2 linked regions of the Ovis aries genome follow. The protein of the gene in region 1 interacts with the protein of each later gene in a pairwise test. Links are inferred from orthologs where the notes say so. Each region holds a gene or a part of one and is shown on either strand. Other genes may lie near its edges.

Region 1 (4,608 bases):
AACTATCCCTTCCCCTCTAGGCAACTATAAGTTCCTTCTCTAAGTCTGTGAGTCATTTTCCATTTTGTAAGGAAGTTCATTTGTATCATTTCTTTTTAGATTCCACATATAAGGGATGCCATACGCTATTTCTCCTTCTCTTCACTCAGTATGACACTCTCTGGGTCCATCCATGTTGCTGCAAATGGCATTATTTCATCCTTTTTAATTAGCCTCTTTACATTCCTGTTATCATTGCTCTATTTCACTATCATTTGATCCCCATGACTGAAAATGGTCTTCTGCACTTTGGTATCTCCACCTTGTCATATAAGACTTGATGCCACTCTTGTGATGGAAATCCTTTAGTGTCTTATAACCAAAGGTAAAATCCAAATACCTTAATTTGGGTGCTCATCTATTGTGTCAGCAGTATCTGTTGCCAGCCCCTTTGCATACCCTAAGCTACTGCCTTGAAATGATTCTCAATGCTTCCCAGGTGAGACAAACTCTCTGATGCTCCAGAGTCCTTGCAAGTTTTCCCTCTGCCTAGAATGTTGTTTTGGAGAGGGCAATGGCACATCACTCTGGTACTCTTGCCTGGAAAATCCCATGGACGGAGGAGCCTGGTGGGCTGCAGTCCATGGGGTCGCCAAGAGTCAGACACGACTGAACGACTTCACTTTCACTTTTCACTTTCATGCACTGGAGAAGGAAATGGCAGCCCACTCCAGTGTTCTTGCCTGGAGAATCCCAGAGACGGGGGAGCCTGGTGGGCTGCCGTCTATGGGTCGCACAGAGTCGGACACGACTGAAGTGACTTAGCAGCAGTTAGCAGAATGTTGTTTCCCTCATTTCTAGTTAGATGGACAATCAGTACTTACTCTTCAAATTCCAACTCATTTCCCCTGAAAGCCTGCGCTGTTTCCCTTAGACAGGGCTCCCTCCTCTTAACTTCAGTATCACTTTGAATATACTTGTGTTTGCATGGCTGCTGCTTCTCTAGATGTGGGCTCCTTGAGGGTAGGAGCTTGTCCTTTCCTGGTGATCACCTGGCATAGCACTTGGTATGTTGAGAATCAGACCGATCTACATGGGATTCTAAACCCAAGGCTATGTGACCTTGGTGTATTACTTAACTTCTCTGTGCCTCACGTTGCACTATCTGTAAAATAGTGCTAATGATGCTCAGCAGATTAATTATAAAGACTAAATAGCAAAACTCTTGTGAAGCTTCTGAAATATAGGTGGCACTTAGAATGGACATGATGCCTATATATATTTATTTATATATATTTGTTAAATGAACCCAGCAGAACTCAGGAAAGGTGTAATAATAATTATACACCGTCTAGGTGTCAAATACTGTCCTAGAAAGGGTTGTCATCTTTGTGGTCTAAATGGTAGTCTTAACTGTTGCTCTTTAAGGACAACGGTACTGAGCACCCAAACAGTGGGGCCTGTCATTTACCCGAGTCTTTGGTAAGGGCTCATTACAATGTCGCCCCCGTCCCTCGCTGATCTTAGCGCTAGAGCAAGATCAGGCGCCTTCAGCAAACCAACATGACTCCGGTGTACTCGACTCTGCTTGCTCTGCTGTGGTGGAGAGGAACCAGCACTCGGCCGGAGAGTGACCAGTTCTCAGCCCTGCTGGGTTCTCTTCCCACCAGCCGGCTGAGGTAGCCCCGCCCACCTCGCGCCCACTGGGGGCGGGGCTCAATACGTCGCGCTCTCGTCACTTCCAGCAGACCCGGAAGCGCCGTTGTCCCAGCCGCTAGAGTTAGGAAGTCGGGATGGAGCTACGCTCATCTTAAACCTTTGGCCTGTAGTGCGCCGGGGCCGGGCCGGTGCTGCTGTGGCTGGGTGAGCGGGGAGCGCGGAGCGGCTTCTGGGGCAGTGCGGGCGAGCCCTGGCAGTGTGCCCTTCTTGTGCCAGCGTCGCCCCGCCTCTAGGATAGGACCCGCCCCCGCCCTCCTGTCTGGGACCTGGCAAGCGTTTCTGCCCTGCTGCCCCGCCGCCCTGCATCCGGTCTCAAACAGCTGCTTGGAGCGGATGTGCGGCAGAGGGGGACAGCTATCTCCCCGTCGCATACAACCCCTGCTAGCATCTTCGTGACGCTCTCCCAGCCTGTCCAAACCCTGGCCTGGAGCAACCCGTCCTGAACCCTCATGGAGAAGTTTGGAATGAATTTCGGGGGCGGCCCAAGCAAGAAGGACCTGCTGGAGACCATTGAGACTCAGAAGAAGCAGCTCCTCCAGTACCAAACTCGTCTCAAGGATGTAGTCCTTGCCTATAAAAGTCTGCTGAAGGAGAAAGAGGCGCTGGAGGCCAGCATTAAGGTACTGTCTGTATCCCACGAGGCGGATGTAGGCCTCGCAGGTGTGCAGCCTCAAGGCCTCACCTTTCCTGACTCTGTGGATGACCGATGCTCCACTCACAGCGAGGATAGCACAGGGACCGCCGCCAGCCTGGATACTGCGGCCAGTATCACCAGCACCAAGGGTGAGTTTGGGGTAGAAGATGACAGACTGGCCCGTGGACCACCTCCTCCAAAGTTGGAAGAGGCCAGCGGGTCAGAGAGTGGCGTTAGCAGTAGTAGTGGGGACGGACCATCTGGGGGTGGGGAGGTGGACAAACGACTGCACCAGCTGAAGACTCAGTTGGCTACTTTGACCAGCTCTTTGGCTACAGTCACCCAGGAGAAGTCCCGCATGGAAGCTTCTTACCTGGCGGACAAAAAGAAGATGAAGCAGGACTTAGAGGATGCCAGTAAGAAAGCAGAGGAGGAGAGGGGCCGGCTGGAGGGAGAACTGAAGGGGCTGCAGGAACAGATAGCAGAAACCAAAGCCCGGCTTATCACGCAGCAACATGATCGGGCCCAAGAGCAGAGCGACCATGCCTTGATGCTGCGTGAGCTCCAGAAACTGCTGCAGGAGGAGAGGGCCCAGCGCCAGGACTTGGAGCTTCGGTTGGAAGAGACTCGGGAAGCTCTGGCCGGGCGGGCCTATGCAGCCGGTCAGATGGAAGGGTTTGAACTGCAGACCAAGCAACTGACCCGTGAGGTGGAAGAGCTGAAAGGTGAGCTTCAGGCTCTTCGAGATGAGAAGAATCAGCCTGACCCCCGGCTGAAGGAGCTTCAAGAAGAGGCTGCCTGCCTCAAGAGCCATTTCCAGGCTCAGTTGCAGCAGGAAATGAGAAAGGTAATTATCTTCATCTCTTTCAAACATGAGTCATTTAACTTAAAGTGGCTTCTCAGGTGGCTCAGTGGTAAAGAATCCATCTGCCAATGGAAGAGATTCTGGAGATATGGGTTTGATCCCTGGGTCAGGAAGATCCCCTGGAGTAGGAAGTTGCAACCCACTCCAGTATTCTTGCCTGGAAAACCACATAGACAGAGGAGCCTGGTAGGCTACAGTCCATAAGGAAGTAAAGAGTCAGACACGAGTCAGCACACACCACTTGTGACACATGGGGAAATATTAGTGTTTTTTTTTTTTTTCTCCTTTGACAGAACTAAGTGCCTGCACTGTTGGTTTTTTATGCGCTTCGAAAAGTTTCACTTGTGGGTCCTGAGAAATCCTTTTCTGTGTGGTGTTGACAGTATCCACAGAGTGCTTCCAACAGGATGTGGAGTTTCTGAGTGTAGTCTGAAGTTGGAGCTAGACAGATCTGAGTGTCAGGGCATGGCATCTTCCCAGCTGTGCTCTGTGAAGCAGTGTAGCAGCGGCTGTGCAGTGGAAGGTGGAGTGGGGGCTTATGGCAGTATGCCTATCTATGGGTAGCAGTGGATGCCTGTAGGTAGGGTGGCTGGAGGGGACAAAGGGAATTTTCATAGAAGAAATCACCTCTTCTATTGCTTGCAGTCAATATTTGCCATGTCTGGAAAGATAGGCTATTTTCCAGTGCCTCCTTTCAGCGTGGGGAGAGATCCAAGCCAACTCTGAACTTCCAGGAATGTTGGAAGAGGAAAAGAATGTAATATGGTGAACAGCACACTTACACGTGAGCTTGGTGTATGGGTGGAGAGAGTAGAAACACTAAAGCAGAACAGTAGCAGATCTCCAAAGACTCTTAATATCATTGGGTATAATGTGTGTCTGAGAGCAAGTTACAGGAGCTTGGGTTAGCTCCCAAACTCAGAAAGCTTCCCAGTTCCCATTTTTTTCCAGGCCACCTGCATCCCATAACCTTTTTGTCCTCCCTCTCTTGCTTTCTTAAAGTTGACCCTCCGACCCTGTGGCTTTTCTGGATGCATCTCCACCTGTTCCCTTGTTTTTTCAGACAGCCCTCGCTGAGGATCAGCTGCGCCAGCAGTCTCAGTTGGAAGAGCAGAGGGTGGCGGCCCTGGAGAATCAAATATCCCAGGTGTCGGAATTGCTGGGCACCTACGAGAAAGCCAAGCAGAAGGACCAGCTGGCCATCCAGAAGCTGAAGGAGCGCATTCTGCAGCTGGACCTGGAGAACAAAACCCTGGCTCTAGCGGCCTCCAGCCGGTCCCCCCTGGACAGCCATGGAGAGGAGTCCAGTCTGGATGTCAACGTCCTGAAGGACAAGATGGAGAAGCTGAAGAGGCTGCTGCAGGTGGCGGCCAGGAAGAGCCAGGTGACCCTGGATGTGGAGAAGCTCTGC
Region 2 (2,815 bases), on another chromosome or scaffold:
AGTTCATTAGTTATTAAGAATTGGTATTAAGCAGGCTAGGAAGACACTGTCTTGTAGTCTCTGAGTAGATTTTATCATCTGAGATACATCTTACAAGTACTGAATTGTTTGTTTTTTTGTTTTTTGTTTTTTTTTCATTTTATTTTTTTACTTTACAATACTGTCTTGGTTTTGCCATAATATTCTCACATCGGTGAGATTTATCCATCTGTTCGGCTGCACTGGGTCTTCGTTGCCTATGGCGGGTTGGTGCGTGGGCTTCTCGTGGTGGTGGCTTCTTTGGCGGAGCACAGGCTCTACTGTGGGCTTCAGTGGTTGCAGTGCTCAGGAGCTGTGGTACACGGGCTTAGTTGAAGACGTGGAATGTTCCAGGAACCAGGGATTGAACCTGTGTTCCCTGCACTGGCAGGCAGATTCTTAACCACTGGACTACCAGGGAAGTCCGTTTTCCATACATTAAATTTACCTTTTTCTAATTGAACACCACCAGCAATTTATTTTCGCCAACAGCTAAAGTGAAAATAAAGCTACCCCTTTGAAATTATTCTAAAAGAATGATAATAAAATTTAAAAATCCTTTTCATAGTACTAATATATAACCATTACATTCTATCTATCCAGAACATGCTTCTCTCTGCTCAGACTAGTTTCAAGAATACCTTTCTCCTACTCATTTATTTAAAATCCTTCTTGTCTTCCTTTACCCGTATGGGAGTTTTTTGCCTCCTCCTTGACTTCCTCCGAAACCTTCTTGGTTCTTACATACCCTGTTCTGCATTTGGCAGCATTATCTTAACTTCTGGTATAGCACCAGAATTGATGTTTTTCCTCTTGTTTACATGTTTTTATGTCCCTATACACTAGTACAGTAAGTTTTTGAAGGTTTAAAAACCAGGGGGGAAAATATATATATGCGTTTTCGTTGGTATGAGAGTTAAAAATACCAGTTTTTTCAAGCATATGTTTTTATTAATTTTTCCTTTTTCTTCCTTGCCTTGGTTTTTTGGCATAGCTGGAGAAACAAAAGTTGGAGAAGCAGAAGAAGGAGTTAAAAGCCACCAAAAAGACTCTTGATGAGGAAGGAAACAGCAGCAGCCGTTCTACAACCACAGGGACCACAAATAAGAAGGACTTTGCCAAACCGAGACCTGGAGAAAAAAGCAGGAAAAATCTTCAGTTATTGAAAGATATGCAATCCATACAGAATTCATTACAAAGCAATAGTTTGTGTTGGGATTACTGACTGGTACCAGGTCATAAATTTTATTCACATAATCTGTACCTCATCAATCAGATACTGACTTTCCAGGTCTCATGTTGGAATTAATTAATAGCAGGCATTTAGGGACCCAAGCTTCATTACACAGGCTTCTTGTGCTACATATCACAACTAAATGTTTAGCCATCTGAACAGAAACTGGGGGTAGTTTTAAAGGCCAAGAAGCCACACATACTCTGTTTCTTTGTTTGAGATGAATTTGCTGTACTGAGATATTGCACTTTGTAAACAAATTACCAATTTTTTACTTGTGGGTGTGATTTTTTTAATAGTTCTATTATATAAGTAAAATTAGGTTTAAATTATCGAAGTATGAGGCTATCCCATAGGCAGTGTTTGTTTGAAAAGTCTCATTTTTAAATCTTCCCTGGCATGAATCGCCTGCTTTTGCTTTTCAATACAACCATTAAATATGCTCCATTTCGACTACTGATGGAGGTTTTCGATATTTAAATATTTATACATATTTAAGAAGATAGCTTTATTTTGCTTTTTGACGTTACAGACATTGGTCAGTATTAAATACACTTGCATTGATGTTAATTCACCATTAAAAATTTTAAAGATGCATTCATTTTAAATCAGTTAAATGTGAAGATCACAAAAGCATTTTTAAAACTATAAACAAATTGTTAATGATGTAAATGAGGTTTTGGAATGAAGAGAGAAAGGGAGGTGTTGTAAAGTATATACATATGTATTTTCAGATAATACCTGTTTGTAATCATGCTATTCATTTCAAGGCATTATGGTTTTTAATCTTAAACTCAAAATCCCTTGATTATTTATTTGTGTACAGTATGAGTGCAGTATTAACTGTACACGTGATTGTCATTGTTAATAATGTGAATCATAGTTTTGAATAGTTCAAGACTTGTTAACTTTATAAATTTGACACTGAAATCAATAAAGCAGCTTTTTTAAGGAAACACTGAAATTTTCCTTAGCAGCCTGTTAATAAAGGCTTTATTTGTTGTAATCTCTCAAAAAAATACATTTTTAAATAGAACATTAACCTCTTACAAGAAACAATAAGAATATATGGTATTTAATACATAATTTGCCTTTTTCATGCTTACATAGAAACCAGATCCAAGAAAACTGAACTGTCTCACAGTATATAAGATACTCTTTGTTGTTGTTAAGTCTCTCAGTCACGTCTGACTCTTTGCAACCCCATGAACTGCAGCACGCCACGCTTCCCTGTCCTTCACTATCTCCCGAGTTTCCTCAAACTCATGTCCATCAAGTCAGTGATGCCATCCAACATCTCATCCTCTGTCGTCCCCTTTTCCTCCCGCTTTCAGTCTTCCCCAGCATCAGGGTCTTTTCTAATGAGTCTGCTCTTCACATCAGGTGGCCAAAGTATTGGAGTTTCAGCTTCAGTCCTTCCAATGAATATTCAGGACTGCTTTCCTTTAGGATGGACTGGTTGGATCTCCTTGCAGTCCAAGGGACTCTCAAGAGTCTCCTCCAGTCCCACAGTTCAAAAGCATCAATTCTTCGGCACTCAGCTTTCTTTATACTGGAAAAACC

The links.
Region 2: the proteins of GCC1 (region 1) and CEP57 interact in binary tests that used the Homo sapiens proteins (3 or more experiments, as listed by UniProt). The two-hybrid records come from large-scale screens. The link is inferred for Ovis aries from reciprocal best matches to the Homo sapiens genes GCC1 and CEP57.

The regions. Positions count from the first base shown.
Region 1 is NC_056057.1:93,527,678-93,532,285, reverse strand, and holds the start of GCC1 (GRIP and coiled-coil domain-containing protein 1), read left to right. Parts: upstream 1-1,725; 5' UTR 1,726-2,147; coding exon 2,148-3,179; intron 3,180-4,260; coding exon 4,261-4,608. UniProt on the Homo sapiens protein: Probably involved in maintaining Golgi structure.
Region 2 is NC_056068.1:14,077,919-14,080,733, reverse strand, and holds the end of CEP57 (centrosomal protein of 57 kDa), read left to right. Parts: intron 1-1,012; coding exon 1,013-1,243; 3' UTR 1,244-2,208; downstream 2,209-2,815. UniProt on the Homo sapiens protein: Centrosomal protein which may be required for microtubule attachment to centrosomes. May act by forming ring-like structures around microtubules. Mediates nuclear translocation and mitogenic activity of the internalized growth factor FGF2, but that of FGF1.